2 linked regions of the Arabidopsis thaliana genome follow. The protein of the gene in region 2 interacts with the protein of the main gene of each other region in a pairwise test. Each region holds a gene or a part of one and is shown on either strand. Other genes may lie near its edges. The genes, in order: MYB2 and AT1G18780.

Region 1 (4,309 bases), on a different chromosome or scaffold from region 2:
TTTAGTTGGGATTTGTCTTCGCGGGTTCATCTATCCTTTGCTCTACTCTGTTTGTGGTTAAAGATTCTCTAGTCCGCGATCTTCGAGCTCTTATTTCCGCGAGTTTTGCTCTCCTCCGACTTTCATGTTGATCTCATGAGCTTATCTTCTTGATTTTAGTATATTTTCTTGTGGTCCCATGTATCGGGCTTTTGTTTTCGGGGATTTCTTTATTTTCTGCCGGCTATGTTGTACGAAAACGCATTCCAAAACTGTATTTCACCCATGTATTATATAATGAAAATCTTTCAGTTAAAAAAAAAAAAAAAAAAAAAAAAAACTAGCTTATTTGGGTTGTCGTCTATATCACATATCTAATCGATGTAACAATTCACTGAATCGGGTGTTACAAATAACATTTGTTTTCTTCACTAAAAGTATAAGATACTGGTACAACGCGAAATCTAACCTATATTCGAATCAAATGACACGTCATCACTTGGGTGTCTATTTGTCCACAGTTGAAAGTTATAAGAAGCAGACAAGTGTCTCATAAAGACATCGAGATCTGATTCGGTTCTCAGGTACATACAGTTAATCGGGAGTGTTGCTTTCCCCTAGAACTATGGAGGCTACTATTTAAGTGTCGTTGTGTAACAAAAATCCTGTGTTTACTTGCATTACTTAAACTCCTTTACTTTAATAGTTTTATATATGTTTTCGACCTCCCTTTTTCGACGGAGTGGATCGCTATGACATGTAGGCATCTGATTGTATTTGCTAATCTGTTTTTGTTAGTATGTTAAATTTTTAACCCAATATATGTTTATAGTGCTTATATATTCTTACTTTAGTTACATATGAATATATGATCATTGATGAATTAAACAATATAATGTAATAATTAAATTTGATTTCCCTGATCGAATTATAATTTATATGTTTTGTAATACGAATCAATTAAAATATTTTCTTGTTACACATTTTGATAAAATGTCGTAGAACGTTACTTAAAAGTAATGATGCATTAACAAAATGTACAACATATATTATAAAAGTTATCATCAATATTATAGGCATTCGACTTTCAGAATGTGTATCAATAATCGAAGTAGTAATGGAACGATTATTGAAAGTATACTACGGTCTCTCTTTACTTCATCGTGGATTCTCATTAAAAACAAAAGTACTTTCTCTACCGGCAACTATTGAAAGTATATTATTGTTTTTAATAACTTTGATAGTGTTTCTTAATTATTAATCCCAACGTACGATAAAATTTTGTTTGATAAAACTCACAAAAGTTTAGTATATTTCTGTAAATATATGCATAGAAGTCATAGTGATTGACAGAGGAAAGACGTCTCTTTGACTACTCTTCAATCGAAAACAAAATGTGCTAAAATTTCAAAAGCAAAGTCCCTAAACTCGCCTAACTCCATTTCTCATTTGACTTTGCCTTAAATGTCAATAGTCCTATGTTATTTAGCTACATTCAAAATTGGGAATTAAGAATTATTTTAGACTCCATATACTTAGAAACGAATCCGTATTGGAAACTAATTTCCATTTAGTAATAGTATTTAAGTATTATTATGCTTACCGAGTAGCATGTAGTAGTTTCTTAATGTTAGCTAATTTCAAAGCAAACGACGAATATTAAATCGTGATTGCACACAACAAGAAGTGATTAATAAATCATTAATTTCGCCCATAGTAATCACTAACCAGAGTAATTTTGAACAAGACTAAGGATGTACAATAACTTACGTCTGCGATACTGTGTGGTAATAAATATAGAAACTTTATGAAATAGAACTCTCTTACCAAAGAAAGAAAAAGCAAGAGTGCGTGTTACTATACATCTGAACAAGTCAAAGGGTCAAACCTTAGTATTTTAAAATTACACAAACAATTGACCAAATGGAGAGCTAATTATGTTTAGCATAATTTACTATATAGTTGCAAAATTCCACTTTAGAAACAGAATAAAAAAATAAAAATTGAACATAACACTTATGCCGTGTTCCAGTCACTCTTCAACATTCTACTCATTTTCAAATATCCTTTTTATAAAATACTACTTTTAAAATTATTTGATTCTTATGTTCCTTCACTATATATATATAAATATCGCACATTGCTTAATCACTTCAAATCTAATCCACAAAACCATTCACACCATCTCATCTTCTTTCTCTCTATCTCTTTTCCTTTCCTCATTTAAAGTTTCTTTATAAGAAATGGAAGATTACGAGCGAATAAACTCAAACTCTCCAACACATGAAGAAGATTCTGATGTACGGAAAGGTCCATGGACCGAGGAAGAAGATGCAATCCTAGTCAACTTCGTCTCTATCCATGGCGATGCTCGTTGGAACCACATCGCTCGTTCCTCTGGTATCATCAAAACATCAATCTCTAAATATACATATACACAAAGGCTTTATATATAGATAAACTTATATATATTTTACTCATATATGTGCAGGGCTAAAGCGAACTGGTAAGAGTTGTAGATTAAGATGGCTTAATTACTTACGTCCAGATGTTAGAAGAGGCAACATCACTCTCGAAGAACAATTTATGATCCTCAAACTCCATTCTCTTTGGGGCAATAGGTACACACTATATATCTCAAATGTTAATATTTTGCTATTCTATATGTTACTAGTTAAGTATGTTATTAATATATGTCTTTTTTTTCAATTGAATATATAAGGTGGTCGAAGATTGCGCAATATCTACCGGGAAGAACAGATAATGAAATAAAGAATTATTGGAGAACTCGAGTCCAAAAGCAAGCCAAACACCTAAGATGCGATGTTAACAGTAATCTTTTCAAGGAGACTATGAGAAATGTTTGGATGCCGAGATTAGTGGAACGAATCAACGCCCAATCATTACCCACCACGTGTGAACAAGTGGAGTCAATGATCACCGACCCAAGTCAACCAGTTAACGAACCGAGTCCGGTCGAGCCGGGTTTCGTTCAATTCAGCCAGAATCATCATCAGCAATTCGTACCGGCTACGGAATTGTCAGCAACGTCTTCGAATTCTCCGGCTGAGACGTTTTCGGACGTTCGAGGTGGGGTGGTGAACGGGTCAGGTTATGATCCGTCGGGTCAAACGGGTTTCGGAGAGTTCAACGATTGGGGCTGTGTTGGTGGGGACAACATGTGGACTGACGAGGAGAGTTTTTGGTTCTTGCAGGACCAGTTCTGCCCCGATACGACATCGTATTCGTATAATTAAGGAAATATACGATTACTATACGTAACGAGGAATTCAATTGCGTCACGTTTGGTGTAATATTCATTCGTGCGTGATGCCAATTTTAGATACGGCCTTGGTATACGAATCTTGACTTAATTATTATCTTTTCTTTTCCTCTCTTGTTTTAATCCCCTGATTAAATTAAGATTTGATCATCAGACGAGGATATTTGTGATTCACTGATTTGTGATATTGATATATGTGAATTATTTGATATAACGTTTTAAAAACCAACAAAAAAAAAAAATCATTCCAAGGAAAAGTTCTTAATTTTGATACTCGAAAAGAGCGTAGACTGACTCGAATCAGTTCATATTTTCTTTGGTTCGTTTTATTTACGACAAAATTCACTAACAAAAATTAAAAAACGACAAAACGAAAATATGACTAAATTTATTTTTTTGACAGTTAACCACTGATTATTGGTTCAAATTGTCACAACACATGATTTATCTTGATAGAAATTTAGTAGTCCAGAATGCTGCATGGTTGATCCTAAGAAAAACAAATCATGCAAGGACCAAGGACTTACATTACTTAATTATACTTAAACGCTTTATAAAATTCACATCAAGTGATTCCTGACGATGATCCAGTAAAACCCTTCATCCATATCGTTGCTTCCACACGTAGTTTCGATAATAAACTCGTGATTATCGCCAAGATGCGATGTATCAACCACTGAAATTCTCTTCCTTGTCACGTTTTCGTCTCCGACGATATTTCTGTAAAGTTTCGCAGCAGACGAAGAAGAATCCGATGTCTCCGGCTCGTCTTTAGGCGTAAGACGGCAACTCATCAGTGCTCTAAGGAGCATCACTATCGACGCCATGTGTCTCTGACGTCGTAGGATGCTTTAGTTGGCTTTATCTCGTATCTAATCACTTTCAACATTTAAGACACACACAAAACATATGTATATATATTGTGTGCATGCGTTTGTGTGTGAGCTTGTGTCAGTGTGTGTAATAGTCTTAACAACCATTGTCGAGTGTTGAAAGTTGGAACAAGACAGCACAAGGAGGAAGCCATCATGCATCGAGGGGATATCT
Region 2 (3,787 bases):
TGTGGACTGTATCCTACAGAGACAAATTGCATTTAAGACTTTGATAACTGCAATGTGTTTCTCTTTCACTGGCTGTTGAAAGCAGAAAGCCAAGAGTTGGAGCTAGTTGGATAATGTGTTCCTTACTATGTTCTGCATATGCATTTTAACAAGTGCCTTTTTGTTATATGAAGGACTTGTTGAGATTAAGAGAAGAGTATGTAGAAGAAGGCTGAAGAAGGTGATGAACATGATTCTCCAATAGAAAGTGTGGAGGAGAGCCAGCTGGAGTGGGCGTCGAATCAGTGTTCCCCTTGTAAGTAACTTCAAGCTTGTGCAACGACTTTAATAGCCTATCTCTGTGCAATGTTGTTCATTGGTTGTAATGTCTCTAGTACTCTCTTGATTGATTGTACATTTTCAATGTTTTGTACTGAGTAAAAGCAAACATATATGCATTGTTTTACAAAATTTAAATTTGTTTAAGAACCCCACCATTGGAGAAGACAAAACTTCATGACATCAATTCAAGTTCTCAAGTTTGATAAAAGCAAAATTTAAACTTAAAAAATGGTTAGAGCCCTCACGTGGTTCTCACCATTTGAGATGTATCCAATCGAGAGCAAAATGTTTACAGATTAACAAAAATCTGTAAAATCGTGAAATCATTTAATAAAAATTTAGTATCAACCTGATTATAATTCTTGAATGAGAGTCCAATACTATAAACTGAATCAAGAGCAAGAACAATAGAAAAGAGTTTGCAGAAAACTAAACTATGATTTTGGAAATCGTAAAGCTTTAAACAAAATTTGGTGACCTTTTCGTCTTCTTCACCCTTATCTTTCACATGGCAACTCGAGACGACACAATGGACATACATGACTTCTCACAAACCACTCTAAAACACACTCCTCGTCAAACTCGTGCCCACACGGTAAAGTCACAATACTTCTTCCATCGTCAAACTCTTCCAAACAAATAGTGCACACGTCATTCTCACATACAACACCACTAGCTTTCTTGTATGTTTTCCTATTCAAAGCCCCGACAGTGAGCTTGCTCGCAGGTTTTAACCTGACAGTGTTGGTCTCATTGAACGAAACTTGAAAAACTTCTTCAATCTGAGAATGAGACGCTTCTTCAATTTGATGATCGAAGCCAAAGCTAGCATGGTGCTCATCCCTTAAGTGTGGCAACCCGTGGAATAGAACAACTTCTCCAAGCTGAGATGAAGATGCTTCTTCGTAAGGAAAGTAATCATTGTAGTCATCCCTGAAGTATGGCAACCCGTAGAATGGAACAACTTCTTCAAACTGAGATGAAGATGCTTCTCCGTAAACGTCTTGCTCATCCTCTAAACCTAGAACGTCTTCTTCAATATGTTCAGGAGGAATAGCGATTGTAAGAGTCATCAACACTCTTAAAGCACAACCTGGAGTATAATCATCAGAGGAAGTTATTTCATCGACGAATCGAAACAACTCTAGTAACACATGGTAAGCATCGATGGGAGTGATTTTTCCTGATCCCGTCAAGAATTCAGTAAGCTCTACAGCAACACAGTCGCGTAAAGAAACCGGGATACAAGAGAATTCTGATGTTAGTTCATCATAGAGATCATAATTACTGATGATACTTTGATATATTTTGGTCGTAGCAACACTGATATTGATTATGCCAACATCTTCAGGTACAGGATTGTGCTCAATTTCATGTGCGAAGGATGAAATCATGATGGCGAGAACGATCAAGAATAAATAAATTTTATCGATTATGTTTAGCCGTTTAGGGTTCTCTTGAAGTAATTCATTCATGTATTTATAACAGAGGCCTAGATCGATGGTATATATATATATATATATATATATATATATATCTTTAGTAGAAAATCTAATACTATTGGGATTTGATATCAGTTTACATTTGTAATTGTTTTTTTCCTAATTTACAAACGGTGTATGTTTTTTTCCTAAGCTTTTACTTTCCTTTTTTTTTCTTTGGGTATAATTTAGCAAACAATTAATTAATTAATTGTTTTTGTTAATCTGATTATTGACGTTTAAACTCAATTTCCTTTTAAGCTTGAAAAACTTTATAAATTAAGACAAAAAAATATATAGTTGATTAAAAAAATTAGTACTTAAAAGTTGGTCACACTTTCTTACATCATCATCATCAAAGTAATTGGGTTCCAGATTTAAAGTTTAGTCAAACTTCTTACAACCAGGTTTGTAATTCATATCTCCATTGAAACTATTTAGCTATATAATCCACCAAACTGAATAAGTCTCTGTATATTTGGTGACTGCAGCAACCGAACTAACTCAGGACAGAGGCACAGAGCTATTGCGCTATAATGTACATAGTACTCATGCATGGGAGTTTTAGCCTTTTATGCATTTTTTTTTTTGTAAGAAATGTTGTCTAGGAATCATATATTTTATAAGAATGATATAGTATATAATTAGTCAATATATTTTATTTTATAGATATCGGCTAATTAACTGTAATTTTTTTTCTTCCTCTTCTTAATTTTATCTTTTCAAAACTCTTTTGATTTATATCAGTTTTATTATGTTACCCAACATTATCCAAATTAGGTCCCAAAAATAAAGAAAAAAAAAAATCGAATGCAAAATAAAAAATAAGTAATCATAATTCCTAAATCAAATTTACATTCATAGTCGTTCTAATTTTCTCAAACTTGCGGTATTTCACAAAATATAAAAAAATTAAAATATTTATTTTAGCAACTCGAATAATAAATTGTTGGATAAGCTTGAATTAGCTGGAATCATAAGCTATTCAAAGTAGGATTATGATTTATATATTTAGCAGTTATCTAAATATAATTGTATTCCTAATAGATGTCGAGTTTAGACATAACCTTAAGAGAGTTTATGGGATTGAGAGAACTTGAGAGTTTTAGTTTTGAGATCTCTAAAGCATAAATAAAGAGAGTGATTCTTTATTGTTTTTGTTGTTGTTAAGCAATCTTCTTATATTCTAGAATTGGAAGCAAAATTCTTGTTGTTCTTGTTGTACTAAATTACTGCCATTGACACCAAAATTTTGATACAAATTTACTATACGAATTACGAAGCTACGTGAACATAGATATTAACCAACATAAGTTATGCATTCGGGTCAAAATATGAAGAAGGTGTTTTTAAAGAAGTAGATTGAAAAGCTAGCTAACAAGTTATTGAGACAAACAAAAAAGAGAGAGAGATCGTTTACTATATTAGTAGTAATTTTAATATTAATGAGTCAAAAACGTTTTGTAATTTAGAGTCGAATACAATAAACCATACACAACACATTCACAAACAAATAGAAGAACCCACACTAGAGAAACTTCATAAGAGATCCTTCACCTCTTTATCATCATCTTCTCATACCTCTTCATCAAAGACCATCGAGCACCTATTATCTCTCAAAACCCGAAACAGAAGAGTAAGAAGAAGAAGAAGCAGAAGCAGAAGAAGATGATGATGTGATGGGCGTGGACATGCCACTTCTTCTCTTCCTCTTATGGTTAGCCTTGAAACAAGCTTGTCTCAATCTCTTTGTCTTATCCTCAAACTTCAAATCTGGTAACTTCTCAATCGTTTTCTTCTCCTTCTCGAGCTTTTCCAAAGCGTTTCTTAGCTTATCTTCATTTTCTTCCCCTTCCATCTTCTCTAGCTCCTGTTACAATTATAAAAATAGTCACATCAAATTCACTAAATCGGTAGACCATAGCATTAAGGCTTTATATAGCGTTTTCATTTCCAAAACAACAAAAATCAAATTTTCAAGAAAA

What was found.
Region 1: the proteins of AT1G18780 (region 2) and MYB2 interact in a two-hybrid assay, tested with the Arabidopsis thaliana proteins (one large-scale study listed by BioGRID).

The regions. Positions count from the first base shown.
Region 1 is NC_003071.7:19,374,062-19,378,370, forward strand, and holds MYB2 (myb domain protein 2), read left to right. Parts: upstream 1-1,923; 5' UTR 1,924-2,222; coding exon 2,223-2,379; intron 2,380-2,470; coding exon 2,471-2,600; intron 2,601-2,701; coding exon 2,702-3,236; 3' UTR 3,237-3,482; downstream 3,483-4,309. Other genes in the region: AT2G47200 (uncharacterized protein), read right to left, coding at 3,823-4,089.
Region 2 is NC_003070.9:6,475,440-6,479,226, forward strand, and holds AT1G18780 (RING/U-box superfamily protein), read right to left. Parts: upstream 1,797-3,787; coding exon 819-1,796; downstream 1-818. Other genes in the region: AT1G18773 (acyl thioesterase-like protein), read left to right, coding at 174-215; RKD1 (RWP-RK domain-containing protein), read right to left, coding at 3,412-3,672.